Linked DNA regions of Mus musculus. The protein of the gene in region 1 interacts with the protein of each later gene in a biochemical or structural test. Links are inferred from orthologs where the notes say so. Each region holds a gene or a part of one and is shown in the gene's direction. Other genes may lie near its edges.

What was found.
Region 2: of the proteins of Prmt1 (region 1) and Fbl, one has a biochemical effect on the other in vitro, tested with the Homo sapiens proteins (2 studies listed by BioGRID). The link is inferred for Mus musculus from reciprocal best matches to the Homo sapiens genes PRMT1 and FBL.
Region 3: the proteins of Prmt1 (region 1) and Btg2 form a complex in vitro, tested with the Homo sapiens proteins (2 studies listed by BioGRID). The link is inferred for Mus musculus from reciprocal best matches to the Homo sapiens genes PRMT1 and BTG2.
Region 4: of the proteins of Prmt1 (region 1) and Fus, one has a biochemical effect on the other in vitro, tested with the Homo sapiens proteins (3 studies listed by BioGRID). The link is inferred for Mus musculus from reciprocal best matches to the Homo sapiens genes PRMT1 and FUS.
Region 5: the proteins of Prmt1 (region 1) and Habp4 form a complex in vitro, tested with the Homo sapiens proteins (2 studies listed by BioGRID, with this or other methods). The link is inferred for Mus musculus from reciprocal best matches to the Homo sapiens genes PRMT1 and HABP4.
Region 6: of the proteins of Prmt1 (region 1) and Ubap2l, one has a biochemical effect on the other in vitro, tested with the Homo sapiens proteins (2 studies listed by BioGRID, with this or other methods). The link is inferred for Mus musculus from reciprocal best matches to the Homo sapiens genes PRMT1 and UBAP2L.
Region 7: of the proteins of Prmt1 (region 1) and Khdrbs1, one has a biochemical effect on the other in vitro, tested with the Homo sapiens proteins (2 studies listed by BioGRID). The link is inferred for Mus musculus from reciprocal best matches to the Homo sapiens genes PRMT1 and KHDRBS1.

Annotation. Positions count from the first base shown.
Region 1 is NC_000073.6:44,976,421-44,979,920, reverse strand, and holds the end of Prmt1 (protein arginine N-methyltransferase 1), read left to right. Parts: intron 1-395; coding exon 396-538; intron 539-950; coding exon 951-1,038; intron 1,039-1,130; coding exon 1,131-1,246; intron 1,247-1,643; coding exon 1,644-1,794; intron 1,795-2,295; coding exon 2,296-2,417; intron 2,418-2,937; coding exon 2,938-3,021; 3' UTR 3,022-3,166; downstream 3,167-3,500. UniProt on the Homo sapiens protein: Arginine methyltransferase that methylates (mono and asymmetric dimethylation) the guanidino nitrogens of arginyl residues present in proteins such as ESR1, histone H2, H3 and H4, FMR1, ILF3, HNRNPA1, HNRNPD, NFATC2IP, SUPT5H, TAF15, EWS, HABP4, SERBP1, RBM15, FOXO1, CHTOP, MAP3K5/ASK1, MICU1 and NPRL2.
Region 2 is NC_000073.6:28,168,394-28,172,547, forward strand, and holds the start of Fbl (rRNA 2'-O-methyltransferase fibrillarin), read left to right. Parts: upstream 1-1,354; 5' UTR 1,355-1,415; coding exon 1,416-1,425; intron 1,426-4,154.
Region 3 is NC_000067.6:134,076,356-134,080,307, reverse strand, and holds the start of Btg2 (protein BTG2), read left to right. Parts: upstream 1-1,152; 5' UTR 1,153-1,254; coding exon 1,255-1,396; intron 1,397-2,604; coding exon 2,605-2,939; 3' UTR 2,940-3,952. UniProt on the Homo sapiens protein: Anti-proliferative protein; the function is mediated by association with deadenylase subunits of the CCR4-NOT complex. Activates mRNA deadenylation in a CNOT6 and CNOT7-dependent manner. In vitro can inhibit deadenylase activity of CNOT7 and CNOT8.
Region 4 is NC_000073.6:127,966,031-127,970,278, forward strand, and holds the start of Fus (RNA-binding protein FUS), read left to right. Parts: upstream 1-1,448; 5' UTR 1,449-1,534; coding exon 1,535-1,547; intron 1,548-3,531; coding exon 3,532-3,556; intron 3,557-3,686; coding exon 3,687-3,841; intron 3,842-4,248. UniProt on the Homo sapiens protein: DNA/RNA-binding protein that plays a role in various cellular processes such as transcription regulation, RNA splicing, RNA transport, DNA repair and damage response. Binds to ssRNA containing the consensus sequence 5'-AGGUAA-3'.
Region 5 is NC_000079.6:64,160,698-64,164,665, forward strand, and holds the start of Habp4 (intracellular hyaluronan-binding protein 4), read left to right. Parts: upstream 1-1,168; 5' UTR 1,169-1,288; coding exon 1,289-1,637; intron 1,638-3,968. UniProt on the Homo sapiens protein: Ribosome-binding protein that promotes ribosome hibernation, a process during which ribosomes are stabilized in an inactive state and preserved from proteasomal degradation.
Region 6 is NC_000069.6:90,049,716-90,053,845, reverse strand, and holds the start of Ubap2l (ubiquitin-associated protein 2-like), read left to right. Parts: upstream 1-1,330; 5' UTR 1,331-1,391; exon of another isoform or gene 1,392-1,817; intron 1,818-2,152; exon of another isoform or gene 2,153-2,210; intron 2,211-4,130. Other genes in the region: 4933434E20Rik (protein C1orf43 homolog), read right to left, coding at 237-338, 727-792. UniProt on the Homo sapiens protein: Recruits the ubiquitination machinery to RNA polymerase II for polyubiquitination, removal and degradation, when the transcription-coupled nucleotide excision repair (TC-NER) machinery fails to resolve DNA damage.
Region 7 is NC_000070.6:129,739,504-129,743,803, reverse strand, and holds the start of Khdrbs1 (KH domain-containing, RNA-binding, signal transduction-associated protein 1), read left to right. Parts: upstream 1-1,500; 5' UTR 1,501-1,643; coding exon 1,644-2,025; intron 2,026-4,300. UniProt on the Homo sapiens protein: Recruited and tyrosine phosphorylated by several receptor systems, for example the T-cell, leptin and insulin receptors. Once phosphorylated, functions as an adapter protein in signal transduction cascades by binding to SH2 and SH3 domain-containing proteins.

The DNA of each region.
Region 1 (3,500 bases):
TACTTACTGCTTCACTTACTGAATAGAAAAATGTATTTCACCTGAGCACTGCTAGGGGAGGAAACAAACCCAGACCTGGAGAATGTTAAACTTGGGCTCGCAGCAGAGCTACTCCTAGACCCGCAGACAGAACCTGAAACTGTTGCTGTGCTACCCTTGTGCTTTAGGACGGACCTGGTGTTTTAACCTTTTATCCCCAGTGCTGGGGGACAGAGGCAGGCAGATCTCTGGGTTTGTGGCCAGCCTGGTCTACATAGCAAGTTCCAGGACTACATAGTGAGACAGTTTGAAAAGAGAGACAGGGTGCCTGCCCTTGGACCAGAGTCCTCTGTGGGTGTCTGGAACCATCTGGGCCAGCCCTCCCCGTGACTGGCATGCCATTCCTGTGGGTGCAGTGGTGACCATCATCAAGGGCAAGGTGGAGGAGGTGGAGCTGCCCGTGGAGAAGGTGGACATCATCATCAGCGAGTGGATGGGTTACTGCCTCTTCTACGAGTCCATGCTCAACACCGTGCTGCACGCTCGGGACAAGTGGCTGGTGAGCCATACGCCTTGGATGGGCGCCCCAGGCTAAGGAGTTAGAGCAGCAAATAGGGTGCCACCAAGTGTTTCTGTGGATGAGGCCTTCCCAGGGAGAAGGGACCAAAGGAATGGCAGAGGAACTGACTTGAAGAAGGCCAGTGCAGAGTCCTTACGCCAGGAGAGCGCGTACTGGGGGGAAGGGGAAGGGATCAGGAGGATACTGTACAAAATGGAGGTGTCTCCTTCTGGGGTGTTTCCATGCTCCTAGGAATTATGGAACTGCCAGGGCTCTGGGTGCACTGTGGCTGTTGAGTAGGGACCAGACTAAAGGATGAGGCCTGGGTGGCTAAGGGGTCTCTGGAAAGTGATGGTGGGCTGGACAATTGGACCACTCAGCTAGGTCCTTGCTTTTACCCAACTCCCTTCAGGCACCCGATGGCCTCATCTTCCCAGACCGGGCCACCTTGTATGTGACAGCCATTGAGGACCGACAATATAAAGACTACAAGATCCACTGTGAGCTGGGGTTGTAGTGGGTGGTGAGGGCAGGATGGGTGGCGAGGGCAGGGCCTGGATTCCACAGCTCATCTGACCCTGTCTGTACCCAGGGTGGGAGAACGTGTATGGCTTTGATATGTCCTGCATTAAAGACGTGGCCATCAAGGAGCCCCTGGTGGACGTGGTGGACCCAAAGCAGCTGGTCACCAATGCCTGCCTCATAAAGGTAACTGGGCAGCAATAGCAGGGGTCCCAGTCCCTGACCAGTCCATTAGAACTGTAGGGAGAGCAGTTGGGCCACACATCAGAGTTTTCAGGGCCATGCCCTGTGCTGAGAGATGGCTTCAATTCCCAGCAACCACATGGTGGCTCACAAGCATCTGTAATGGGATCTGGTGCCCTCTTCTGGTGTGTGTGAAGACAGCTACAGTGTACTCATACATGAAATAAATATGTTTTTTTTTTTTTAAAAGGAAAAATGTTTTGAGGGCCAGCCCAGGATACATGAGACCCCGTTTCAGAAGGCGGGGGGGCTGTTTTACTGTGATGGGAAGGGGCCTAACAGGCAGCAGTTCTCGTGCAGGGTGGGCTCTGAGCACTGACTGGGCTCACCCATTTGGCAGGAGGTGGACATCTACACAGTCAAGGTGGAGGACCTGACCTTCACCTCCCCCTTCTGCCTGCAAGTGAAGAGGAACGACTACGTGCACGCGCTGGTGGCTTACTTCAACATCGAGTTCACCCGATGCCACAAGAGGACCGGCTTCTCCACCAGTGAGCGCTGTGTGGGGCTGGGCGGGGGCCGAGATCATCAGTGAGGTTTCTGTGTGATGAGCAGCGTCGGGCATGCCTGAGGCTTATCACAGCCATAGAGCTACTCGGGAACAGGGCAGAAAGCTCTAAAGTTGAAGAAAGTTAGTGGTAACCCTCAAAAAGGAAGAGTTGAAATGGGGCCATAGAGAGCCTTGAGTCACTCTGGGAGGGTGGGGCATGGCCCAGTGGTCGGGTGCCTATGGTATTCTGGTTCTGGGTTCTACCACTAGTCCTGTTAAGAACAAGGGGGAGTGCTGGACACTGAAGAACTGTTCCACCAGGCTCTGCTGTCAGTCATTGAGTGACTGAGTCTGATCCCTGTGTAACTCAGGAAACACAGGCAAGATGCAGGATCACTAGCCCTCAAAGCCTTGCTGGTGGTGACCTTGTGGGGGGTGCAATGGCAGGTTTAGCATGGCGACACCCAGGCAAAGTCTGGAACTGACCATGCCCACCTTTCAGGTCCTGAGTCCCCGTACACACACTGGAAGCAGACTGTGTTCTACATGGAGGACTACCTAACAGTGAAGACTGGCGAGGAGATCTTTGGCACCATTGGAATGAGGCCCAATGCCAAAAACAATGTGAGGCCTGATGGAGAGTAAACATGATACGGAGGGTGTGCAGAAAAGTCAGGTTCTGGGTAGAGTTGAACAGTGCCAGCTTGGGTAGCATAGCGGGTACCCGAGGAAGCCCCATGTGGCTGCTGGGTTCAGTGATAACCTTGTTCAGCACCCTTCCTGTGGGCACTGAAATCACCTGGCTCCTGTTACAGGTTAGAGTGGCAAGTGCCAGAGCGCAGTGTGATGCTAGGAACACCTAACCCTGGCCCTCTTGATCCATGGGTGGAGGGGGCTTCAGGATGCTTGCAGGGGCCCTGAAGTGGTGCTGGCACTCCAGCGCTGCTGGTGCTGGTTCCCTCGGTGGCAGAAACTTAGACTGTGGCTGGGGAGCATGGGGTGCATATGGCCGATAGTGCTGTCAGTAGGTCAGGGTGCAGGGTGTGCAGTGTGCTGGCTGGCAGACGTTGCCAACACTCTTGCCTGGCCCTTGGCTGATGGCTCTGTCTCCCACCTGAGCTCTGTTTCCCTCTTTTCCCTGCAGCGTGACTTGGACTTTACCATCGACCTGGACTTCAAGGGTCAGCTGTGTGAGCTCTCTTGTTCCACCGACTACCGGATGCGCTGAGGAGGTGCCAGGCTGGCCCTCCTGCAGAAGGGGGCTCGGGGGGATGGGCTTGGGGGATGGGGGGGTACATCGTGACTGTGTTTTTCATAACTTATGTTTTTATATGGTTGCGTTTATGCCAATAAATCCTCAGCTGACCATGCCACTTCTCGCCCTGGGGCTGGGGTAGTTCTACTGTTTTGCCTATCACTCCCTGAGGACTGTCCATTTCTGCTCTAGGGATGTGGACCTCAAGCTAGGTAGGATTCCTGGCTCCATCATGGCTGGATTCCCAGACCTTCCTGAGATTCTTTTGTTGTTTTGGTTTTGGTTTTGGTTTTTCAAGACAGGGTTTCTCTGTGTAGCCCTGGCTGCCCTGGAACTCACTGTAGACCAGGCTGGCCTGGAACCTGGAACTCAGAAATCTGCCTGCCTCTGCCTCCCAAGTGCTGGGATTAAAGGCGTGCGCCACCACGCCCAGCTCTTCCTGAGATTCTTTG
Region 2 (4,154 bases), about 17 Mb from region 1:
AAAAACCAGTGCTGGATGCTAGGGTGATTTGTCACCCTGGCAACCATCCAGCCCTTCCCTGGCACTTGGCTGCCTTGAATGACTACCATCCAAGCAAACCCCTCTTGGCAGCCAGCTGGTCTACTGTCATGGCAGCCTGGCAGCTCTTGAATGCTCCACAGACACCTCCAGGAAGCTATACTGCATGGACCACCACTTAATGCTAAAAGACAACTCCTGCTCTAGGAGGCACTATCCTGGCCCTGACTATCCCCAAGAGTTTAACATGGACTTTTTGCCATCAGAAGCCTCTATAATCCTTGGCAGCCACTTCACCAAGGCCAGAGGGAAACCATTTCCCCTGGTAACCCAACAAAAAGTCAGCGGTTAGTGCAAATGATCTTTCAGTTGCACGGAAGGCTGTAAGTTCTGGCTATTAGGACGCTTCTTCTGGAGACCGGTCGCTCCTGTGCTGCCTCCTGGTGGTGCAACATTAACACTGGGCCTTCTGCAACAGTTGTTGCTCGACTGATGTGATCTTTATCAGTAGGGTGGGCTGAATTCATGACCTGAAGAGGAGGAACAGAGGCAGAAACAACTGCAAACCAGCAGTGGCCTGGGAGCAGCTGCGACAACATTTGGGTGAGTGAAGATTTCCAGTAAGAGGCCAGGGGTAGAGAGCAGAAGCAGTGAGATGCCTGTTCTTCGCTGTAAAGGAGGGAGCTCTTTGAGCGGAAAAGGAAAAGGAAGGAGAAATAGAAAAGCGAAGTGTACCATAGGAGATCCCGAGTTCCAGCTCAGCCTGGACCCCACTGCAAAACCCTGTCATAAAATACAAACCTCAACAACAAACAGAAACATAAGGCTGTGCTGGAGAGATAGCTCAGCTGTGAAGAGAACATAATGCTCTTGATGAAGACTCAGGTTCGGGTCTCAGCACCTATTTGGCGGCTCACAATTAATTGCCGGTAACTCTAGTTCCAGGGGATCTGACGCCTTCTCCTGACTTCCATGGCGTATGCGTGGTGCACAGACAGACGAATATGCAAGCTAAACACTTCTAAGGATAAAATTTTAAAAATTTAAAGTCTTTGAAAAATAATAAATTTTTAAAAATCGGTATAACCCCTGATTCCTGGAGTGCTAGCATAAGTGAGAGGAAAAGTCGCAGCGCACTTGTGATAAAATTTGCCACTCTAGGAAAAAGTGAGGAGCGTAGAGACACGACAGAGCCGGAAAAGGATTCAGAACTCCCACCCAAGGGGCCGACTCCGACTTCCGGGAGACGGGACGCGCGTCTAAGGGGCGTGGTTACGCGCTTCCGTCACTCGCCGTGCGTCACCGCGCGCAGGCGCTCCTTTCCACGTGCGAAAGCCTGAGACTCGTGGAGTCGGGGACGCCGCAGGTTGCCTGAATCGCGCGACCAGAACGCAGTAATGAAGCCAGGTAAGGACCACGGTGCGGGCAGGAGTCGGGGGCTCTAGGCGCGGCGGGCGGGGACCGCGGCCGCTCGGGGCCGGGGGATGTGGCCGTGAGCTCGGCTCACCGGCCGGCCTACAAGCTTGCCGCCTCAGAGCGGCCGGTGCGGCCCTCCAGACCCTGACCCAGAGTTGGGGCTTGGATCTCCGAGCATTGCTTTAGGGGATCCGACTTGGGTCGCAGATGAAAGGGCCCCTGTCTCCACCCCAAGCCTTCCCTGTTGCCGCCGTCACCCACTGTCACTCCCTGTCAACGATACCTTGGTCCCCAACCCAGCTTCCCCCCGGGTAAATGAGGATCTCCGGCTCCGTGGTGTGCGGCGCTCGCGTGCACAGGCTGGCGCTCGCCGCGCTTCCGGGAGGGGCGGGACCCAAGGCTTGTAGGAGTAGAGGCTCTGGGGACCTGGGAGTCCCTGCTCTGTAGTGAGAGCGACTTTACTAGCCCGGCTATTAGCGGGGTAGGTGATTGGAATTGAGAGGGGTTGGTTTAGGTTTGGATTTTGAGAGCGTCTTGTCACGTGATCCTAGCTGGCCGAGATCCACCAGCCTTTACCTCCAGAGTACGGGGATTAAAGGCGTGCGCCACCACGGCTGGCCTGACAAATGTATCCATCTCACCTATTTCCCGCGTTTTTTTCTGATGAGCCCACTGTATGGTGGATGATGGCGAGAGTTCTGGCTTTGACAATAGAAAGTTCTCGTTTCTCTCTTGAGTTCTTAATGGATAAGTGGTTTTCTTGGTGATAGGTTACTCTGGGCTGTCAATCCTAGCACTCGGAAAGCGGAGACAGTTAGATAATGAGTTTGTAACACCAGTCTGTTCTACATTAGTCGTGATAGCATGAGCTTTTCCTGTTGCCGAAGGATCAGTTTTCACCACTGCAGGTTTTTGTCTGGCGTGGACACACATGTTCCTGTGGACAGATGGAGAGTAAGTCACTGCAGGCGATAGTGACCCATCTCTCCCTCCCAGACATGTTGAATATCTATCTGGGGCTCTGTTCTGGATGTCTGGGGAAGTAAGGTGGAGGGATTGCTAGTCTGGATGTTCTCCTGGCATCCTGTGATTTGTGCTTTCCCCTCAACCTTTCTCCATCACACGATAGAATGAGAATTGTTGAACAGTCGAATCTTCTGTGACAGTTTGTGTCTTGAATACGAAGCAGCTTTGGGGGAGATTGTTTTAAACAGAGGTGTGCTACAAAGTATGGTGGACGATTCTCAACAAGGTCCTTTATTTTCATGTTTGTGTATTGAAATGGCATCTTATTGTAATAGCCTAGGCTAGCCTCAGACTCGGCTTCCCAAGTGGCTGGGTTGCAGGCATGTGATTGCAGCAGTTGCTGGAGTTGCTAGTTTGGAGGTGGGGAGACTTGTAGAGAAAAGCAGATTCTAAAACAGCAGACTGTGTGTGAACATAAAAGTCTTGTTGAGTAGTGAGTCCTTTCGGTTCATTTTCCTCAAAACCCCAGGACCAGAAATGGATCCTGATAACACATTGAGTATTATGTGTCTGAGTTGACCCTGCTATCTACCGGTCGCCATGAGGATGCCAACAGCTTGCCAGATCTCTGTTCTGTCAGGCCCAGGGTTGGAGCTAGTGGCTCTTCTCCTCAGTACTCTTGTGTATACAGTTCCTTGATTTTTCTATCATTCCCATAGACCTTTGCTACTTTAGGGTCTTGAGTAACAGTAGCATAGCCATCCTCCCATATGAGCTACAGGACACCATTCTCTTCTGAATGAAAACAAGTGGTTTCTCTGAGGCAGAATCCAGGGCTGTGGATATGGCTCAGCTGATAAAGTGCTTCCTGGCATTCGGGAGACAATAGCTTTATTCTCCTGTGCTACCTAGGGATAGGTGTGGTGGTGAACATCCATCTTCCTGCCTTCGAGGTGGGGGGGGTCAAAAATTCAGATTGATCAACCATTGCAGCTGGAGACCCTGTCTCAAGGTCATCGGCAGACGTTTGCTGACTGATTGTTGGTGTCAGCATTGGATTGTGCTGAGATGCTGTAACCAGAATAATTACAAAGCCTTTTGTGCATTTGGAACTTGTGGGTGCCAGTGAGACTGACAGTTAAATGTAACGTGACAAGAAGTGGGCTGAGTCTGTACCACTTAGTCAGACACCCAAGTGCGGGAGTGCTGTGCCTGCCTGCGGGAGCTGGGAAGAGGGGCAGCTCGCATGAGATTTCAAAGCCTGCCATTTGCAGATGGGGGACAGCCTGGGTTGATGAATCTCAATTTAGGCTATACATTAAGGTCCTGCAGGGAACTCAAAAAGGAAAAAAAATGCCCTTCTCAGGGAATCGTGGTCAAGAAAAGAATTCTGATTTTGTTGTGGATAGTGAGGTAGGGAGGGTAGAGATGGGGCTTGGGGGTGTCTGAGAGTTTTGAAGCTGAAACTTAACTTAGAACTGGGCGTGGTGGCACACGCCTTTAATCCCAGCACTTGGGAGGCAGAGGCAGGCGGATTTCTGAGTTCTAGGCCAGCGTGGTCTACAGAGTGAGTTCCAGGACAGCTAGGGCTACACAGAGAAACCCTGTCTTTAAAAACCCAAAACAAACAAACAATCAAAAACTTAGTTTGAAATAGATACCAAGTTGCACAGGGTTTTTTGTTTGTTTTTGAATTCTGGGGAGTTGAACTCAGGGCCTGGCCTATTAGAGCTGCAGTGCCCCCCCCCCTCAAG
Region 3 (3,952 bases), on another chromosome or scaffold:
CATGTGGGAAAAGGGACAGAAGTATTGATGGGAAGTCCACTGAAGAAAAACAAGCAGCAAAACAGACAGTGGAGAGAAAAGGGAAGAGGGAAATGGGGTAGGGTGGATACAGAGGATCCAGGTAGGGAAGCTGGTGGCTCAGACCAGGGATACAGGGAGAGAAGCCTGGCTTAGAACTCAGGGAAAACAGGATTTTACACAAGCCATGGCGCTAAATTCAGGCCCCATCCTGTGCAGGGCTCAGAGATGTGGGTGACAAGTTGCCCCACTCAGTAGTCTGCCTAGCTTCCTGGCACCAGTCCCTGAGCCCCTGCGTGTAGACAAGCCAGACCTGAAGCCTTTCCTCTGGGGAGCTAGTGTTTACAAAAGCCTCAGTGCACAAAAAGGAAGGAAAACAATCAGGGAAGAGGGAGGGGCAGGGAACTGATGGAAAACTTTGTACAATTCACACCAGATTACTTAAACACACACACACACACACACACACACACACACACACACACACACACACACACACACACAGACACTGCCATTTAAAGGAAAGTGAGTGCTGGAAAAATAACCCTACGGACAGAAAATACTCTCCTCGACACTCCTCCCACCAAACAGTGAGAGCTGATTACTTTTAGGCAATTACAGAAGAGGAAGAGCAGAATTTGTTGGGGGAGGTGGAATTATTATGGAAGCAAAAAGAATACAATCCCCATTGCTGAAAACACGAGGAACCCGTTTTGATCAGCTGGGGGGATGAGTGGCAGAGATGTTCAGGTAGGGGGGTGAACGGCTCTGTCAGTGTCTGTCAGGAGACATGGGAGAAATAACATCGGCGAGGGCATCCTGGAGGAGGCAGCAGGCAACCTGGGTTTTGGCGCTGTGCAGAGACGACGTCCGGGCATGCCCGGTGTAGCGCGCTTCCTCTGCCCAGGTCCAAGGCCCTCTCCCGCCTGCCTCCCACAGCACGGGAGTCCGGTGCTTGTTCCCAATAATGACGTCAGTGAGCGATGACCTCAGCGCCTGGGAGGCGCGGGCGAGCTGGCGGGCGGGGCGGAGAGGGGCGGGCGCAGGCGGAGGGGAGAGGCGAGACACCGGAGGGGCACGCCCCCATCCGCCAGCGTCGGCCAATGGGCGCCACCGACGGCTCCCCGCCTCCCCGAGTGGTATGAAAGGCGCAGCCCGGGGAAAGTCCGGGCAGAGCCCGAGAGGTGGCCAGACCGTCATCATCGTTCTAATACAGCTACTTCCTCAGCCACCGGTATGAGCCACGGGAAGAGAACCGACATGCTCCCGGAGATCGCCGCCGCCGTGGGTTTCCTCTCCAGTCTCCTGAGGACTCGGGGCTGCGTGAGCGAGCAGAGACTCAAGGTTTTCAGTAGGGCGCTCCAGGACGCACTGACCGGTGAGCACACGTCGGGGTCTTGGAACCACTCGGGCGCGGCCACTTCTTGCCTGGGGTGTCTTTATCACTGTTCTGTGACGGGGACCCCTACGCGAACAACTCCGGGTCTCAGATGTCTTTCTCTAATTAATCTCTGAGGCCACTGATGGTCCTCTGTCCCTTCGGTTAAGTCCCCGTCTCCCAGCCCTCCAGTCCCCGCCTCGCTCCCGAGGCTCCGACCCTCTTCCTTGAGTACATTCTGAGACCCTGACAACACCATGAGAAAAGTCAGTGTGTGTGTGTATTCAGAGTCCGAGCTCACCCTTATCTCCGAATCTTGGAGAACAACAGACCCTCAGGGGATGTGAAGCCAGGCCAAGCTGTGCGACTTTTATGCGCAATTGAACTTTCTAGACAACTCTTGAGTCCTAGCCACTGTTGCTGTATAGTCCTGAGCCTGTCATCATACAGGCCCATTCTGCCGCGTGTTTACCCGCTGCAAGTTGTAATCTGGGCCCCCTTTGTATTTTTTCTTTTTTGGTCCCTCTTCACCATCTGCCACCTATTGTAGTACAGAAAAGAGCCTGGTAGCCTAGCCAACTGCGAGGGCGGGGAGGGGGTGTGTGTGTTATGGAGGCAGGGTGTGAGGGACGGAGGTGGAGGAGTGATAAGCCACCCTTTAGCCTCTGTCCGCAGCTGTTATAACTGGTTGGTTGCCTTGGGCTGCGATAGCCATCTCTCAACATGTTGGCACAGATCTGAGGACCAACAGCTGTTTCATCAAAACAAAACCATTTTTTATCCCCTTACCTTTGCTAAAGATCTCAAAACTCTTCTGATGCGGAAGGGATGAGAGGCCTTGTGACTTGTTGGGCAACCAACAACATTGGCCGCTTACCTACCGGCTTTGAAATTTCAGTGCCTTGGTCGTCAGAGGCCCTGCCGGTTCTTGCTAGCCCTTCCTGCCTTAAACAGGATTGTGCCAAAAATATCCATGACCACCATAGAGCATCTACCTGAAAGCTCTGGGGCTGCTTTCCAGTGTACAAAAACTTGGAAAGGACCCAGGAATCTTTCTAAGTGGCAGGGGGAGTTTAAGGAGAGGCTCTTAAATACTGTCGCTGAGAAGAGGAAGTCTCCTCCCCAGCCCTCTCCCCTCATCCTCCCCTTGTGGTAAACATCAGAGAATGCTTTCTAACGGCGCATCTTCCTCTTGTTTTTTTCCACAGATCATTACAAACACCACTGGTTTCCAGAAAAACCATCCAAAGGTTCTGGCTATCGCTGTATCCGTATCAACCACAAGATGGACCCCATCATCAGCAAGGTGGCCAGCCAGATTGGACTCAGCCAGCCCCAGCTGCACCGGCTGCTGCCCAGTGAGCTGACCCTGTGGGTTGATCCCTATGAAGTGTCTTACCGCATCGGGGAGGATGGCTCCATCTGTGTCCTGTATGAGGAGGCCCCGGTGGCTGCCTCCTATGGGCTCCTCACCTGCAAGAACCAGATGATGCTGGGCAGGAGCAGCCCCTCGAAGAACTATGTGATGGCCGTCTCCAGCTAGATAGGAGCCACCCGACCCTGGCACTCTACTGTTCTCATGCTGCCCTGACAACAGGCCACCGTATACCTCAACCTGGGGAACTGTATTTTTAAAATGAAGAGCTATTTATACATGTTTTTTTTTTTTTTTTTTAAGAAAAGAGGAAAAAAACCAAAAGATTTTTTTTAAAAAAAAAAGAAAAAGAAAAACAATTCTTTAAAGGGAGCTGCTTGGAAGTGGCCTCCCCAGGTGCCTTTGGAGAGAACTGTTCTTGATTGCATCTGTGAGCCAGTGTTTGCCTAGGGGAATGGGTTGGGGATTGGCCTAGCCAAGGTAAAAGGGGATTCTTGGCTGATCCCCCCAGGAGGTGGTGGAAGGGAGCAAGGTTAGCAACTGTGAATGAGAGGGGTCAGGGTCTGCTCTGGGTTACCGTCCCAGCTGGGATGCCTGTATGCCTGGTCCCTCTCTTACTCAGGGGCATTCAAGCCTGATCTTAAATAATACTACATTGCCTAATCTTCTCTTTTGTTTTTCGGCTGAGATCAGGGGCAGACTGAAAGGCCTCTCCTGTCCCTTCTGTTCTAAGCAGTCTCTTGAAGCCGTGTCTCGTTTCTGAGTCTACCCTTGGGGGCCTGAAGAGCTTGCTTCCCAGCCCGGAATCTGTCTAAACATTTTTTGGAGGGTGGGATGTAAGGCAGGCGCGCAAAGACTTTGGGGCTAAGATGGAGAGGACCTGCACAAAACCTTTGCTTTGCTCTGTGCTGCTTTGTATGGGTGGATAGTGAATAATTTAGGGATGATTTGCAATGGAATTTTGGGACCCAAAGAGTATCCAATGGGGGTAGGTCTTTTGGACCCAGTCCTTCCTTTTGGGAACCACACGACAGTCTGAATGCTGCTACCACTATTCCTTTGAGAGGTGGCTCAAAGCTCCAGGGAACTCCAAGTCCTTTCTTACTGCCTTCTCTTCAAGAGCAACCTTCCCCATTTTTTCTTTCCCCTTTCCTGCGGTTGGGTCCTGGAGGGCCCTATTT
Region 4 (4,248 bases), about 83 Mb from region 1:
CTCCAGAAGAGGGTGACCCCTCTCCTCTTCTGGATCTCGTTATGGATGGTTGTGAGCCACCATGTGGTTGCTGGGATTTGAACTCAGGACCTTCGGAAGAGCAGTCAGTGCTCTTAATCGCTGAGCCCTCTCTCCAACCCGTCATTTTTGTTCTTATCCACTTGGTAAACTCCCAGTAGAAATGTCATTCCCTCAGACCCATCCTAACCTACTCATTGCAAAATGAATTACCTGATCTCTGTGATCCCAGAGTCCCTGGTATTGGAATTACAGTTGGTTGTTTGCCCACATTCGGGTACTAGGAATTGAACCTGTGGTTTCTCTAGAGCAGCTGTCTCTCCAACCCCCTTGAATTTCGTTTTGTCCTTGAACTGACAAAAAGTGTTCATGCCTTTAAATGCTTTCAATCATTTCCTGTAACCAAGAAGCATTTTGTAGTTCCCCAGGCTTAGACTTTAAAGATCAGAAGGTCTGACCCTGAACTGCCTCGTACCTCATTCACATTCTTAGTCTAGCCGCTCACTGCTCTCATAAGATCCATCTCCCCTCCACCTCTGCCTAGCTCCGGGACTGGAGAGGTAGGCAGGGTCATGCACAGGCTAAACGATCGCTCTATCATTAAGCTACATTCCTCAGATTTCTTTACAAGATGATGATGGGGGAAAACCAGGACGACTGTAATTCCAGGATGCACAGGGCTAAGGCAAATAGGATCAAGGATTCGAGATCAACTGAGCGGTACTGAGAGGCCAAATTAAAAAAAAAAAGGGGGGGGGTAATTGTGGGTTTGAAGCCTCTTAAGTTGTATACATATGTGTTATTGTTGAACCAGCCTTAGGGCCATAGGGTCCAGACTAAAGCTCATCTTCTTCCAGGTTAAACGTCACAATCTATAAACCTTGTTAAGGTCTAAAGAACAGCAAGCCGAGGCATTCCTAAGTGAAAAACGAGACTGATCAGTGTGCTGTCTGTCAGGAGAGAATGTGGAGGACCAGAGCGACACTGCGTTCGACTCAGTTGCTAGGCCAGGGCAAGCGAAAGTATGCTGCATCTTCCCCAGTGAAAGTGGGGCCCAGCCGCTGGGCCGGTCGGAAGGATTTCGGTTCCCACACCCGGAGACTCCAGGCCTTGACTACACAGTTCCGCTCTCGGGCGCAGGGCCCTGGCACCGCCCCTAGCGGGAGGCCGGGTCGTACCATTCTGCCTCTAGTGGGGTAGAGGTGTGTCGAAGGCGAGCCCCGGGCGACGGACGAGAGCCACCGGCCGCAAGGAGAAAGCGCGTGCGAGTGTTTGGGAATAAAGCGAGTTCGTTTTCCCTCTTGTCTTCCTGAGCTCTCCGTATCCCCGGGGAAGGGTGGGGACCTGGGCGTGCCTCCCCCTCGCGCTTCTCCACTTGGTACGTCCCGGTGGCGCGTAGGCGGCAGGCGTACTTAAGGCGGGCGCGGGAGGCGGGGCCGCTCAGTCCTCGCGGCATCGCTTCGCGGTCGTCTGGAACTTTGTTGCTTGGCGGCCTGCGCTGCGCGCGTGCGCGGACATGGCTTCAAACGGTATGTGGGAGCGCGAGGCGGCGACGGCGCGTCCCTGCGAGGCCTCGTTCCCTCGCAGCAAGGCTTTTGGCTTTCGGCTGGGCCTGCGGTGGCGGGCGAGTGGGCTCCCCCACCTCTGGCGGGAAGCAGCGGGTGGAGGGAAGGGGAGGGCGGTGTCGCCATTTTGTTTGGCTCCCCTGGCGCCTTTGGCGCGGAGACCGTGGGTTTTCTCTCCTGGCCCGGTCACTTGAGTCGAGTGTTGAGAGAGACGCTGCCTGGCGACGTGGGGTGACCGGGGTGAGGGAGCTCTGGGTCTCCGCAGCTTCGCCCCACCCCCTCCCCTCCCTCCGTTCCCGGCCTCGCTTTGTCGCAGTGCTGCATCCGGGCACTTGGTGCGCGCACGCGCTCCTCTGGCCCCTCCCCCTTCTCGCCGCGGCCCCCCTCCCCCCCGCCAGGAGTTGGTCCGTTTTTTTTACTTTTTTCTTTTTTTCTTTCTTCTTCTTTCTTTCTTTCTTTCTTCTTCTTTTTTTTTTTTTTTTTTTTTTTTTTGTCGCGAGACCCTCGGCGGAAGACTTGTGGTCCGGTGCTGGCCTCGCCCTGCTCGCTGGGTCCCTTGGGAAGGGGCGGGGCCACCTCTTCCCGCCTCCGTGGCCGCGCAGCGGGAGCGGAAGCTCCTGGCTGGCCTGCGTGTCCGTGGGATTGGGAGGACCGCCAGGGGATGACCAACGGAGTCAGGGACCCCGGCCTGAGTTTCCCACTTCAGAGTTGAGTTTTCCTAAGGCCGGAAGGAAATCAGAGGAGTCGCTCTCCGAGGCCACACCCTCTCGCTGTCAGTTTTGTCCCAGTGCGGGGGTAGAGCTTGGGTTTCCTGCAGGGAGCTGCTGAGCTACAGCTTCCCAGATTGTTGAAAGTGCTGTCTGCTTTGGGTGCGCATGGTAGGCGGGAGCTCAGTTATTTGGAGCCACACGTCGGGAACCTTGGGAGCACCATGCCATTTGGGGGTTGGAGAGTCCCATTCTTCTAGCTGCTTCCTTGGGCTTGAACTCAACTGTGTAATAGCGCTGACTGTCAAAGTTAATCTTGACATCCGGTGATACCACCTTTCCTGTATACAGAGCTGCTGTGAAGATATAAAATGTGGTGACGTGTGTTGCAGGCCTTGGAAAGACCTGCAACAAGTCAAAAGGATTTTTAAACTTAAGGGATGATCTGTATTTTGAGTTTTTTTTTTTTTTTTTTTTTTTTTTTAAAGATTGAGCCAGGTTTGGTGGCACACACCTTTAGTTTCAGGACTAAGAGGTAGAAGTAGGCAGATCTATGTGAGTTCGAGGTGGTCTACATATTGAATTCTGGGATAGATACATAATCGAGACTTCTGTCTCAAAAAAGAAAAAAGGCAAAAAGGACATGATGTTGGATTTTTTTTTTTTGTTGTTGTTGTTTTTTTTCGAGACAGGGTTTCTCTGTGTAGCCCTGGCTGTCCTGAAACTCACTCTGTAGATCAGGCTGACCTCGAACTCAGAAATCCATCTGCCTCTGCCTCCCAAGTGCTGGGATTAAAGGCGTGCGCCACCACGCCCGGTCCGATGTGGGGCATCTTTAATCCCAGCATTTGGGAGGCAGAGGCAGATGGAGCTTTGTATGTATTAAATTGGAGGCCATCCCGGTCTACAGAGTGAGTTCTATGCAGAGAAACCCTGCCTCTAGATAGAGAACCAGTCCACCCACAGAGCTCTGTGGCTGTCATGCTTAGTGGTCGCTTGTTTAGTGGGTCCCAAGCAAGCCCTGGGTTCTACCCAGAACAAAAGTCTAAGACTTATTGGTGTCTAGAAATTTGTGCTTTCTTTGCTTTTTGTAATAAAACTTGGCCATTTTGTCTCATGAGGAACTAACTTATGCCTGTTTTTGTAGATTTGTTTCATCTGGAGTGCCTAGTACAAAAGTTGAAGAATTTATTTCTATTCTTAACTAAAATTAAGACCTTTTTCTTTCCCATCTTTTACAGACTATACCCAACAAGCAACTCAAAGGTGAGTATACTGTTTCTGGTCTGATGCTAGAAGACAGCAAGGGTGATTGATCTAACTTGAGTTTTATGTATTTCTGTATGCTTTTGTTCTTATTCTTTTAGTTGAAGATTACTGGTCTGTTTTCTTGTAGCTACGGGGCCTATCCTACCCAGCCTGGGCAGGGCTACTCCCAACAGAGCAGTCAGCCCTATGGCCAACAGAGTTACAGTGGTTATGGCCAGTCAGCTGACACTTCAGGATACGGCCAGAGCAGCTATGGTTCTTCTTATGGACAGACCCAAAACAGTGAGTTCTTAGTAGAACACATCTTCATTTCTTTATGAATGTTAACTTTTCTTAAACCTGAACAATACCGAAATTCCCACATTTTCCCTAAAGTTTTGTAGTCATTCTTTTAAAACAAAAATACTGATTTGTAATTGATTTTATATTGGACTATTTTCTTCCTGCTTACTATTTTTGTGAAAAAGCAAGTTTGCTAAAGAGAGAACCAGTTTAGAATGACGGATAGGAAGGAAATGGTCTGCTTGGGAATTCTTGAAGTTGGCTGACAATCTGTGATTCACAGAGGTGGTGCCATTTTTACCTCACAAGGGCAAAACATTTTTCTTTCCATATCAGCACATTTAAAATGTAGTTAGGGCCAGGAGTGGTGGCACACACAACTTTATCCAGCACTCTGGGAGGCAGAG
Region 5 (3,968 bases), on another chromosome or scaffold:
ATTTGGACTGCTTCTTCCTCCCGGCTATTGTGAATAGCACCTCTGAGAATAATACGAGTTTTCATCTGAATACCTATTTCCAATTTTGGCTAGAAAAATACAGGCTCTAATCTTTAATTCAAAGAAAGAAGTGGCCACCTATCTTAAAATCTCTAGCCATCTGACAATTTACTGAGAACCCCTGAGGTCCCTGAATGGCAAGCCCAGGAAATTACAATTTGAGACAAAAATCACTTTTGATTTCTTTGCACAGAGAAGTTGGACAACAGTAAAACTCAGACCTTTTTTAACACCTGTATTTAATTATTCCTTTCACATGTTCTATGAAGTAAAACATATGTTCTATGAAGTAAAACTGCTTGTGATAGGGAGGGAACCAGCAGGCAGGGATGGCATCATGGAGAAGGGCAATGTGGAGACAGTTTTGAACAAAGTGTAATGACATAAACATGTATATATACACACACATATAAACACACAAACATACCATAAGAACCATTACTTTGAATGCTAACTTACAAAATTAATTTTCAGGAGAGTGATGGCTCAGAGAGCAAAGGCACTCGCCAGCAAGCATGACATCTAATTTGGAGTTTCATTCCCCAGAAGCCAGGCCTTAACTGAATGTCTCAAAAGAAAAACAACCGCTATCTAAACCTCACCCTGTCCGCTCCCGCACTCATCACAACATCACAGTGGGTCTGGGGTTGTTTCTTTGCACTTGAATGGGTTGTTTTGGTCTCTTGTTCCTGTCACACCTCTTGAAACGCAAGTCTCTCCAGGCTTCTTGAATGGGTCAGCACCCAGCTGAGGACGCTGCCTCTCCTCTAGGCACTTTCCCTCAGTTTACAGCTCTCCCCCAGACACGCAAGCCCTTAAAGGCTCTTGACTAGGTCATTTTGGTGAAGTGTGGCGGTGTGCAACCAGGCTCCCCACTGGCGCACACCGGCGAGAGAAGGCTTGCAGCCTCCCTGAGTTTCTGGTGGTAGCTCCGCCCAAGCCCCATACCACCACGCCCACAGGCTATAGAGTGGGAGGGGATAAAGTGGGGCGTGACGTCACAGACACCGGTCTCCCATTGGGTCTTCGTGCGCCCCGGGGCCGAAGGGCGTGTCCACCAGCGCTCATTGGCTGGGGCGCGCAGGCCGGGAGGAGCCGACCGCGGGGCCGAGAGTGCGGCGGCGGCGGCGGCGGCGGCGGCAGCAGCAGCAGCAGCATGGGTCCTCGCCCGCGGCTTCGCTGAACCTCACTGGCCTGGGCTGCCCGCGGCGCCCGCAGCGGCGGCGTCATGAAGGGGGCCCTGGGGAGCCCTGTAGCCGCCGCGGGCGCCGCGATGCAGGAGACGTTCGGCTGCGTCGTGGCCAACCGCTTCCATCAGCTGCTGGACGACGAGTCGGACCCGTTCGACATCCTGCGGGAGGCCGAGCACCGGCGCCAGCAGCAGCTGCAGCGCAAGCGTCGCGATGAGGCGGCGGCGGCGGCCAGCGGGGCCGGGCACCGTGGCGGCAGGAGCCCGGCTGTGGCCTCAGGACACAGGCCTGGCGCAGGCGGCCGCAGGGAGTCGCAGAAGGAGCGCAAGAGCCTCGCGGCGTCCGGCGCACAGCAGCCAGACAGCCCTGGGGGCCCGCAGCCGCCAGGTACGCCGTGGGCACCGAGGTCACCCCTGCAGCCGCTAGCTCCAGTCGCGGGGACCGATCCCGGACGCGTGGGCGGATCAGAGCTGGGAGTCCTTATGGGCGCAGGACCCGGGGTCATCCTTTCAGGGGCCACCCTTGAAGATAATAATCCTCTCGGGGTCACGTTTCCAGGGATCACTCTAGGGAGCCACTTTTGAGGGATCATGACCCTCCAGGGCCATCCTCCTGGGTGGTCATTTTCCCTGGTCACCCTATCTCAGTGGAAGGGTCAGGGTTTCACTCTCGGTGGGCTCATCCCAGATGGGGGACAGTGAGCAGAGCCGTGAATCTTGGTGGACAGAGGGCCTTTGGTCATTCTCCCTGGGTCCCAATCCACGAGGGGTTGGGAATCACCCTCTCTCCGGGGCTGGGGGTCGTCCCTATCCATCCGTTACGGGTGGGCCGAGCTGGAGGTTCTTGATGGGCAAAAAGGCATAGTATGACTCTTCCGGGGTCACCCTCCTGACATTCCTGGTTTCGTGGAGGAGCTGGGACTGACAGCCTGAGAGTTGCGCAGCTGGGATTCTCACATCTGCAGCTGGCTGCATCCTTCATCTTCCCTCCCGGCCTCTGCGGGACTCAGCTCTGTAGGCGATGCACTGCTGAAACCTTCAGGGATCCCAGATTCTGGGCCTCGAAATCCTGGGAGGCCTGGGTACCCTTACGTGTGGGAGCCCCCGGAAGGCAGACTTGAGCCCAGGGTGAGTTGGGGTGGGCTTGAGGTTCCGGCTCCTCTGCGCCTTAGCTCTTTTCTCCATCCTCATATGGTAGCCTCTAGGTGTTAGCTGACATCGATTGCAGGTGGAACAAATAGTGTATGTGGGACTTGTTATTTGTGATTGATTGAATACTGTTTTTTCTAGAAGCGGCTTTAGCCTTTGCAAGCGGAATGCTCAAAGTTACCCTTTCTGCTTAATCAGAAGGGGTCAGCCCTCCGCTGGGTGTACTGTCTGCGTGGGAGGCTGCTTCAGACTTCGTGGCTGTCACCTGAGCTGCGTCAAGGCTTTTGCAGCCAAGCTCTCACCAAATGAACGCCCGGTTTTCCCGTATTAAGTTTATATCCCTAAGATTGGCAAGAAGGGGTATTGAGATTAGAGGGTAGTTTGACCACGAGGTAGGCAGATGTTCATGTGGGCATTATTGCCTAGTTCTTACTTGAGAAAACTGTCCGTTCCACCTCTGGCTTCACATTTGAGGCTTTCGCTGGTACAGCTAGGTAATGTTTACCTTTATCTGTGAAGTTAATTTGAGACATTGGTTGAGATTCAGAAAATCATTAATGAAGATGGATACCTCAGTAAATTTAGGACTCCTTTTAAAATGGAAATGCACCATACAGTATATTTTGTATTGAGTTTCTCTTAAGTGTATTTAGGAAAATGGGAAGGGAAGGAATTGAGAAAGATCAAATAAAATTTTTTTACTATTTACTTTTTTTTTTTTAACCAAGTGAAGATATACTAGCCTTTGGAAGTGTACCAGTTACTACTGTTAGAGTGTTGTTGGTTTGTTTGATTGGTTGTTTTGTTTTGTTTTGTTTTTGAGAAAGGCTTTCTCTGTGCTGTTCTGGGACTTTGTAGACCAATCTTTCCCCTAACCCACAGAGATATTCCTAGATTTGTCTTCCAAATGCTGAGATTAAAGGTGTGCACCGAAATGTTACTTTTTAGCCTTGTTAAAATAAAAATATTTTTTGTTATAATGAACCCAGGGTTTTATTTATTTTGCGCAAGTGATCTTCTATGAGCTTGAACCCCCAGGTCTTGTTACTGAAATTTCCAGCAATCTCAAAAAAACCGAATGAAGTTAGCAGAAGGGCCCTTTATTTTTCTTATGATTAACGCTATGCATTTATATACATATATTTATGTAATGACAGCACAGTGTGGGGCTGGGGAGATAGATCAATCAGAAAACGTTTGTCTTGAAAACGTGAGGATCTGAGATTCTTGCCTGAATCCACGAGCCCCAGTTCCAGAGAGAGACACTGTCTCAGAAAGTAAGGTGGGCTGTTCAGAGGTGAACACTCAGGGTTTCCCTCTGGCTTCTGGACTCAAAGGCACACTTGCACATGTATACATGCATGTACACAGCTACAGTGCTCTCTCTCTCTCTCTCTCTCTCTCTCTCTCTTTCTTTCTTTCTTTCTTTCTTTCTTTCTTTCTTTCTTTCTTTCTTTCTTTCGCAACATACTCTACTTGGTATTGTAAGCTACTATACTTCGAACTTTTGAGACCAAGTTGATGTTAGAATTTTGTAACAAGATTTCTTTTTTCAAATGTACATGAATTT
Region 6 (4,130 bases), on another chromosome or scaffold:
CATCATGCTTAAACTAAAGCAACATGAAATATTTAGTAATTTTAGTTGAAGATGAGACATTTTACAGCTGAATTGGTTTAAATCTTAAGGTACATGTTGTGGAGCAGCAGTGAGCAGGAAGTTATTGCTTAGACTGTGGAATGAAAGGAAGCATATGAATAAAAGTCTTCTTTTAAAGTCCGAGAAAAATCTCCTTGTGCCAAAGAACAGGTTTACCTTGCATTCTAGTGACCTACCTTGGGGGCATTGTGTCCTACAGGAACATGAGGTCCCCTTCTAGATTTCATTGCAAAGCGCATGATTTGTCTCTTCACAAAAATAAACAGCAGTACGAATACCTGCCCAAAGAGATTAGAGCCATTTTAGTAATAGCAATAATTTTTTAAAATGTTCACTTTCAAAATCCCTGGGTTTAGGCCTTCAGAGCTGGATGCTTTGGGGCGAAGCCGGGTCGCTAAGGACGGAGGTGGGTCAGGGGCTAGTAACGGAGAGGCATGTTAATCTGGGCTCTAGAATTTAAGAGGGAGGGTTCTTACTTAGAGCCAGGCAGCTTTGACTTAAAGATCTCAGACTGTCTACGGATACAATTCGGAAGTCCAGAAACAAAACAAGTTAAGTGGCTGAAGAACAAAGACAGAACGGCTCAGGAGCCTTCTTTTCAGGAGTCCGGCTCAGAGGGTCGGGACTCAGACAAATGCCACAAGAGGAAGAGAATGGGGATCTCACCAGGCTCCCGTACGCCATCACCAGCACGACATTCACTCCAGAAAGCCAGTTACTACTAGACGCCATCGCCTCTCTCTCCGGGAACACCTGCTAGGACAGTCCCGCCGCGCTCGCGCGTTAGCCCAGGCTCTGCCGAAGCCAGGGAACCTAGGTTCCCTGGAGCTCTCCGAACATTTCCATATGGTTTTCGATTAAAAAAAAAAAAAAAAAAAAAACCAGGCTAGAGTCCGTCAGAAAACATGGTGGATGGGGGCGCTAGTTAAGCATCGGACCTTCCCGTCCCATTTCCCCACCCCCACCCCCTCCGCCACGTGACTTATGTCCGCAAAGGTACCTGGGAGTGCGGAGACGCGGAACTACGCCAGTAAGAGGAAGCCGAGACCTTACTGGAGTCACGTGATGGAGGCGGATCCGTGCGGGGCGGGGCGGGGGCGGGGCGGGCGCGCGGAACTCAAGAGCAGTGTTTCGTGGCGGGGAGGCGCGCGCACGCTGACGTGCGCGGCCCTTTCGCGTCACGTGCTGAGGGACGCAGGAAGGCAAGTGGGAGGGGGAAGGCGCGAGAGCGAGCGCGAGAGGGAAAAGGAGGGAGGGGGTGGGGAGGAGGGAATCTTATATCACGTGACAGGGGCGGCGCGGCCCGGGGTGTCAGTGTGGAGGAGACTGAGGTAAAGTTGGGAGCGCAGCGGCGTTGGCGGCGGCGGCGGCGGCAGCGGCAACGCGGCGGGGCCGGGTATTGTCCGCGGCCCCTTTAAATCCGCGATCCCCTTTTTACCCTCCCTTCTTTTCCTCTGTCCCCTCCGTATTCCTGTCCCGCGGTAGGCCCCCCCCACGCCGTGTGTCTCCCCACTGTACACCCTCCCTTCTGGTCTTGGGAACCCGGGCGTCCAACCTCCCCACCTCGAATTGGCCGCCGGGGGTTTTGTTTATAGTTGGGTTCGCGGCCTACTGGGCCGCGCCAGAGCCGGGGCCTCGATTTGGGAGCGTGGCCGGGGCGGGGCTTGGGGCAGCCGGAGGGGGGGGGCATGTGGCTAGAGCCTGAAGGGGGAGAGCGAGAAAGAGCGCGGGCGAGCGAGGCCTGGGCCCAGCCTGAGGTAGGGTTGTTTAGGAGGGTCAGTGTCTTGTGGAGAAGGCCTCCTCCCTCCCCAGTCCTCTCTGGGCCTCTGATCCGGATCCGGCCTGGTTTTGGGGGCGGAGGGGGGGTGGCGATGGGGTGGAGCTGCCCCAAACTCCCCCATGTGGCCCTCGGTTTGGAGTGCGGAGGATTAATTTGTTCCGGGTGGGAGGTAGAGAAGCGAATGGCCCCATGGGCTCTAGATGTGGCGCGGAGGGGGGTGAGTCTCCCATCCTCCGCGCGTGGGCTTCTGTCCTCTCTGTTCATTTCCAGCCTCTTTGTCAGCTCCTCTTATTACCCTGCCTTCTTTCTTACCGACCCTGGTCGTGGAATATATTTTCGCTGCAGTCTTTGACTTCCTGTTGTCTATACTGTAGTTTTGGCTACCCAAGCAGTTATCTTATTTGGGAAGCTGGACATGGAGGCCCCCGTGGATTGTGTTGCGCCTAAGGGATGTCACTAGACTGGGCATTTGTTCATTTTTCTCATAATGGGAATGGAATTCCAAATTTCTTGAGACCCTTCACCTGGTGGACAGCCCCTAAATTGTTTTGCAAAGTGATGTCACAAACAAGAGACTGTTTTCCACGATTCTTAAAATTTAGCAACCTCTGGTGTAGGTTGTTGTGGAAAGAAAAAACAGTTAAAGGCGATTTTGTTAAATTTGTTTTTGCCTTTGACTCACTGACTACTAAATGGAGAGATTATTTTTTGTCTCCACCTCCCATATTCTGCGTTGGGGATATCTGCTGTGTCTTGCTGGGAGGGGGGTATGAGTCAGTTTGACAACCAGCATTAGAGATTAAAATATTTGGATGTGTATCTGTTGATAAGACTGTGTTGTGGGTCCTATACCACTGTCTTTAATTATAGATCATCCCAGTGATTGTTTCTGTTGTGAATGGGAGATACTGCTGTCATGTAAAATAGTGAGGAAGGGCTAAATGTACTGGCTTTCCCCAGTGTTTCTAACTGGGAAGACTCCTATTAGATTGAAGGTGGTTGGGGAATGGGACACAGGTCTAGGAAAATTAGTTTCTCTGTTAGAAGTGGTAAGCCTTACCCATCCCAGTCCAACTTCAGAATGTCTGAATTGTTTCTCACATTAGATTGTAAGCTCCCTGAGAGCAGCAACTAAGTCACACTGCTTTTGTATTTCCTGAAGGATTGGACAAGTAGTAGATTCTCAATAAATACTTATTGTTTATTTTTTTCAGTAAAATTTCTCTGGCTATTTTTTTAAGTAGCTGGCTTTCAAAATGTAGTCAAGGGCACTTCTTTGTTGAAACCTGTACTTGTTCTGTAGTGTTCCCTTGGTTTCCAATACTTCTTTCTCATCCCACTTCCCTTAAGTACTTAGGTTTTCTATGAGTTCACAAAACAAGGCCACTCACTTTCACTGTATAACTCTAGGTATTCATCTTTGTTTGCTACTAAAATGTACTAATTCTGTGCCCTTAAGTGGTTTGCCCAGATTATTTACTTTTGACCTGTTGCTCATTGTTACTAATGAGGGGGTTAAATTTTTCTTAGTTACACATTTCAAAGTATTTCCAAAGAGGGAAATGGAAGTTAAAAGCAAGACTGATTAAAAAGATTTTTTTTTCTGGCTAGTTACATATCTTTCAATATGACTATATTTACATCTAACTTGTAAAATGTGCAGTGATCTATACAACTAATCTTACAGCTTATATTTATGGTATAATTCTTAAAAATTCATATACATGGAATAGAAACCATATAGCATTTTTAAACCACAGGAACAGGAGTAGGTTGGGATTGACTATCTTATAGCTAATTTTAAAACATAATTTTTCCTCTAGCTCTTCTCCCCCAACTATTGCTGTTTTGGATCCACCAGTACTTAGTTAAACAACACTTGTATTTTTGTAAATTAAGTATTGAAACAACTATAATGTTAGCTTGGGAAAGTGACCTAATACTATACTATTTACAGGTCTTTGTACATGTATGTTGGGGAAGAGGTACTGGTTAAAAATTAGTGCTGTGCCTGTTAAAACCTAAATTGGCGATGAGGAATGAAGTAGAAGTCTTTGTTCTTAATAACCACATCAAAAACAAAGACTTGTGCAACCTATTGACACTCCTTGGTGAAAAGCCAGCTTTTTTTCTGTGTTATCCAAGAAATGGGTGAAGTTCATGTCTCCACTTAATCCTTGCATATTTCTTTAGAACTCTCCTGACCTCAAAATTCAGTGTCTGCTGGGCAGTCTAGAATTACCTTGTATAACGTTTCGTTAGTGAACAAAAAAATGTAGAGCAGGAAAGT
Region 7 (4,300 bases), on another chromosome or scaffold:
TGCTAGGACTGCAGTTTGTCAGAGACCTAATATAAGATGCTTCTTAGTTTGTTTTTGGGGGACAGGGTGGCCTGTCCTAGGTGGCCTGTAGCTGTGCTGTGTATGTAGGCCAGACTTGTCTCAAACATGAGGTAATTCTGTGGCTTTTCCTCCTCAGCGCTAGGATGCATAACCACCTCATCCCCTTAGTATGGCTGGACATGAAGGCCTCTATGTGCAAGTAGAGGTCAGAAAACTTGGGAGAGCTGGTTCTCTCCTATTTTGGGCCTGGGGCTAGAACTCAGGTTGATAATAGTCCCCTCCACCCCCAACGAAATAAGCTAATTCAAGAATAATTTTTTTTAAAAAGGCATATCTATTTGGAAATGGGTTCCCGGGTGAGTCCACCAGCCTCAGAGGTCGGGGGCAGAGTATGGCTGGTACTTTTTTGATAGATTGTAGGCGAAGAAAATGACAAGTCTACCACAAGCTGGGCTTGTGCCCAGGTATGGTCATCTAGGGTGGGGCTTGGGTGGCTGGTGACTAAAGATGAGGATTAGTACAGTCAGGAATTCAGGACTGGATTTTTTGGCGCCTTTTTGTGTTCTGAGGCTTTCTGAGTAGGCGGGGTTGGAAGGAGAGAGAGAGAGAAAATTTGGAATTTACCGGGGATGAGTGGGTGGGGAACAAGCCAACAAGCCGGGGACTCCAAAAACAGGTGATAAGCAGCATTACCAGTTGACCCGACCCCAAATGCATCTTTTAATAATTCTCTCACTAGTTTTGAACCTGCTCTAATGGAAATCTTGCCGACTGACTTCCTGGATGCCCTACTTGGGTATGGAGGGAGCCCTTTTCTTCCGGTCTTTGCGTCTCTGACTGACCCCTTCGACTCCTTCTGAGTTTCAGTTCTGCAACACACAGCATTCCCCATTCCTGGCTTCCCTTTCGCACACTCATCACTTATCTCTGGGTCAGCCTCCTCCCTCCCACCACGCCCGCCCGCATCCCCATCTTCCCATCCCGTTCGCTCGCGCAGTCTTTCCCTCTCTTCCGGCTTCACTTGGCTCTAACCCTCGCGTCCCCCTCTCTCCAGAAGCGTTCTTTTCATTTCCCGGTTGGAGGGGCGGCCCCCGATTCCACTCCGGGGCACCGCTCCCTCGGGGACCTCCCCAGGCTCGGCCGTTGAAGGAGGCGTGGCGCACGAATAACAGGTCTCCTGCCGCACACTCCGCGGGCCCGAGCGCAGACAAAGACATTCCACGGCGCCCGCCCCCTCCGCGCACTCCGCCCGGGGGAGGGGGAGGGGAGACACGTGTACCGCTAGCGCCGGGTCACGTGGAAAAGAAAAAGAAATGAAGGAAGGCGGCGGGCGCCCGCGCAGGCGCCCTAAGCTCGGAGCCCAAGCGGGGAGGCGACGTCTTCAGTCGGCGCAGGCGCCGTGGTCCAACTGGGGACTTTGTTCTCCGCGGAGAAACTCAAGGGCGGTGCCGGTAGGCGCCTGCGCACGCGCGCCGCCTCATTTCCGGTGCTCTCTCGCTGGGTCGCTCGGGTCGGCTTCGGTCGCTGTCGCTCCTGTTCTTCCACCCCCGCCAACCGCCGCTCGGGCCTCAGCTGCCGCCGCGTCGCTTCCTCGCTCGTTCGCTCGCCACCCATCATCCCCGATGCAGCGCCGGGACGATCCTGCCTCGCGCCTCACCCGGTCCTCGGGCCGCAGCTGCTCCAAGGACCCGTCAGGTGCCCACCCCTCGGTGCGTCTGACCCCGTCTCGGCCGTCGCCGCTTCCTCACCGGCCCCGGGGAGGGGGAGGTGGGCCCAGAGGAGGCGCTCGGGCCTCGCCCGCCACCCAGCCGCCGCCGCTGCTGCCTCCCTCCACCCCTGGTCCCGACGCGACGGTGGTGGGTTCCGCGCCGACCCCGCTGCTGCCCCCGTCAGCCACAGCCGCGGTCAAGATGGAGCCGGAGAATAAGTACCTGCCTGAACTCATGGCCGAGAAGGACTCGCTCGACCCGTCCTTCACTCACGCCATGCAGCTGCTGTCCGTAGGTAAGCGGTTCTTGGCGGGTCCTCTGGGTCTCCCGGTCCTGACTGTGGGTGGCCGCCGCTTTGTTCTTGCTCCCACCCCCTCGGAGCCCGGGCATCGAGAGTTGTCATCTCGACCTGGCCTTCGAGATTCTGCACCCACAGTCCCACCCGGGCTCAGGGTGTAAGGGAAGATTTCTGAGCCACGGACGAGGCCCGAAGAGGACTCGCGATCTCAGAGCGCGGAGAGCTTGATGGATAGTACCGTGCTCCCGCCCCCTTCTCCTCCCGTAGTAGTTGCCCCGCGCGCCAAGGGCCGGCTCTTAACAGAAATGAACCTATTTCTCCCCGCTTTCCCAAAGAGGAAACATTTGGGGGGGGGAATCGCGGGTGATGGAGACCTGGGGTGTAAGGTAGAGATAGCCGGAATGCCGGTCCCGCACAGCGCATCTACGGAGCGGGGCGGGATTTAGCGGGAACTCGGGTTTAAGTTCATTAGAGGTCGGGGCGACGAGAGAATCCGTGAGCTTGAGGTTTTCTCAAGCCAAGCTTTCCATTTCGGCCTGTCGAGTAAGAATTGCTGCAGACCCGGATGGTTTCTCTGTTTTATTTTGAAATGTGTTTCTGAAGTTATGCAAAAGTGTGTGTGTGTGTGGGGGGGGGGTTGTGATAGCCCAGGAGACCGTAGAAAGAAATGATAGAGGGAGGTAAGGGGCGGCAGGCAGGTTCTTTTGCGTGAGATGAACGAGAAATTGGTCTTTTTGTTTTAGTTTTTGCTGGAGTAGAGATAGTTTAAGAATGGTAGTCTTTGTTCTCTGATTGTAGACTATGGAGCTCTCTTCTCCGGACTTGAGCGACTTAGATATTTTTCCTTATTCAAACCGCCGCCTGTTGTTAGACATGGTTTTAGTATTTTTTATGATATCGAATTTTTTTTTTTTTTTGATTTTGGTTTTTCGATACAGGGTTTCTGTATAGCCCTGGCTGTCTTGGAACTCACTTTGTAGACCAGGCTGGCCTCGAACTCAGAAATTCGCCTGCCTCTGCCTCCCGAGTGCTGGGATTAAAGGCGTGCGCCACCACTGCCCGGCTGATATCTAATTTTTATTAAGCATCTAATACCCACAGTCTGTCCTACTGGTTGAATAGTTGGACTGTTGAGGGGCTGATGGAACCTTGTCACCAGACAAAAACTGGGAAGGTTGAGCGGATTCAGAAACCCTACTCTGAACCTGGAACACTTGACCAAGACACCCCATGAGTCAGTCACACGGGGTGTTAAACCCCCCCCCCAACACCTGAAGGCCCTCCCTCCACATGCAGATGTAGCATCCCTAACTTCTCCGACCAAGCCAATAGAAAGCATCTGCTTTTAGATCCCACCCCACCCCAAAATGTATATTAGACCCTAGCCACAAGGAATAAAGGTTATTTCATCAAAGACTGCCTGAGAGCTTCAGAATTCTCCCCCCTCTCCTTTGGAGAGCAATGCTCCAGAGCCCCCAGATCTCCTCTGATAGCGTCCAGTACACAGAGCATTGCACTCTGGCCAGAACGATATCGTGGACAGTTCATTGTGAAAGAGCACTATCTAATGGAGAGACAAATCAGCCTTTAAGAGCACTGTCTGCTCTTCCACAGGGGTTCAGTTCCCAGCACCCACATCAGAAGGCTTTCAGACACCTGTAACTTCAGTACTGGGGGATCCTGTTTTTGTTTTCTTTGGTGGTTTTTTTTTTTTTTTTTTTTTTTTTTTGGTTTCTCTGTATAGCCCTGGCTGTCCTGGAACTCACTTTGTAGACCAGGCTGGCCTCGAACTCAGAAATCCGCCTGCCTCTGCCTCCCAAGTGCTGGGATTAAAGGCGTGCACCACCACGCCCGGCTGTTTTCTTTGTTTTTTTTTGTTGTTGTTGTTTTTTCGAGACAGGGTTTCTCTGTATAGACCTGGCTGTCCTGGAACTCATTTTGTTGACCAGGCTGGCCTCTGCCTCCCAAGTGCTGTGATTAAAGGCATGCACCACCACCACCGGCCTGATGTTATCTTATGTCCTACACAGGTACTCAAAATACAAAGCTGAAAAGAAATAAAAGGAATATACCATTTTCCCTTCATCTGCTCTCTGTTTCCCAGCATTGTTGAAGGGGATTTACCGTTTGTATAATGCAAAAAGGTCACGGATCTACAATGACTTAAAGACCTGCTTTTCTTTCCAGTCAAATATGAAAACAGCAAATAAGGGCCTTTGAAGCACAGTAAACAAAACCTGTGGTCAGTGAATAGAAACATCAACTCTGTGCA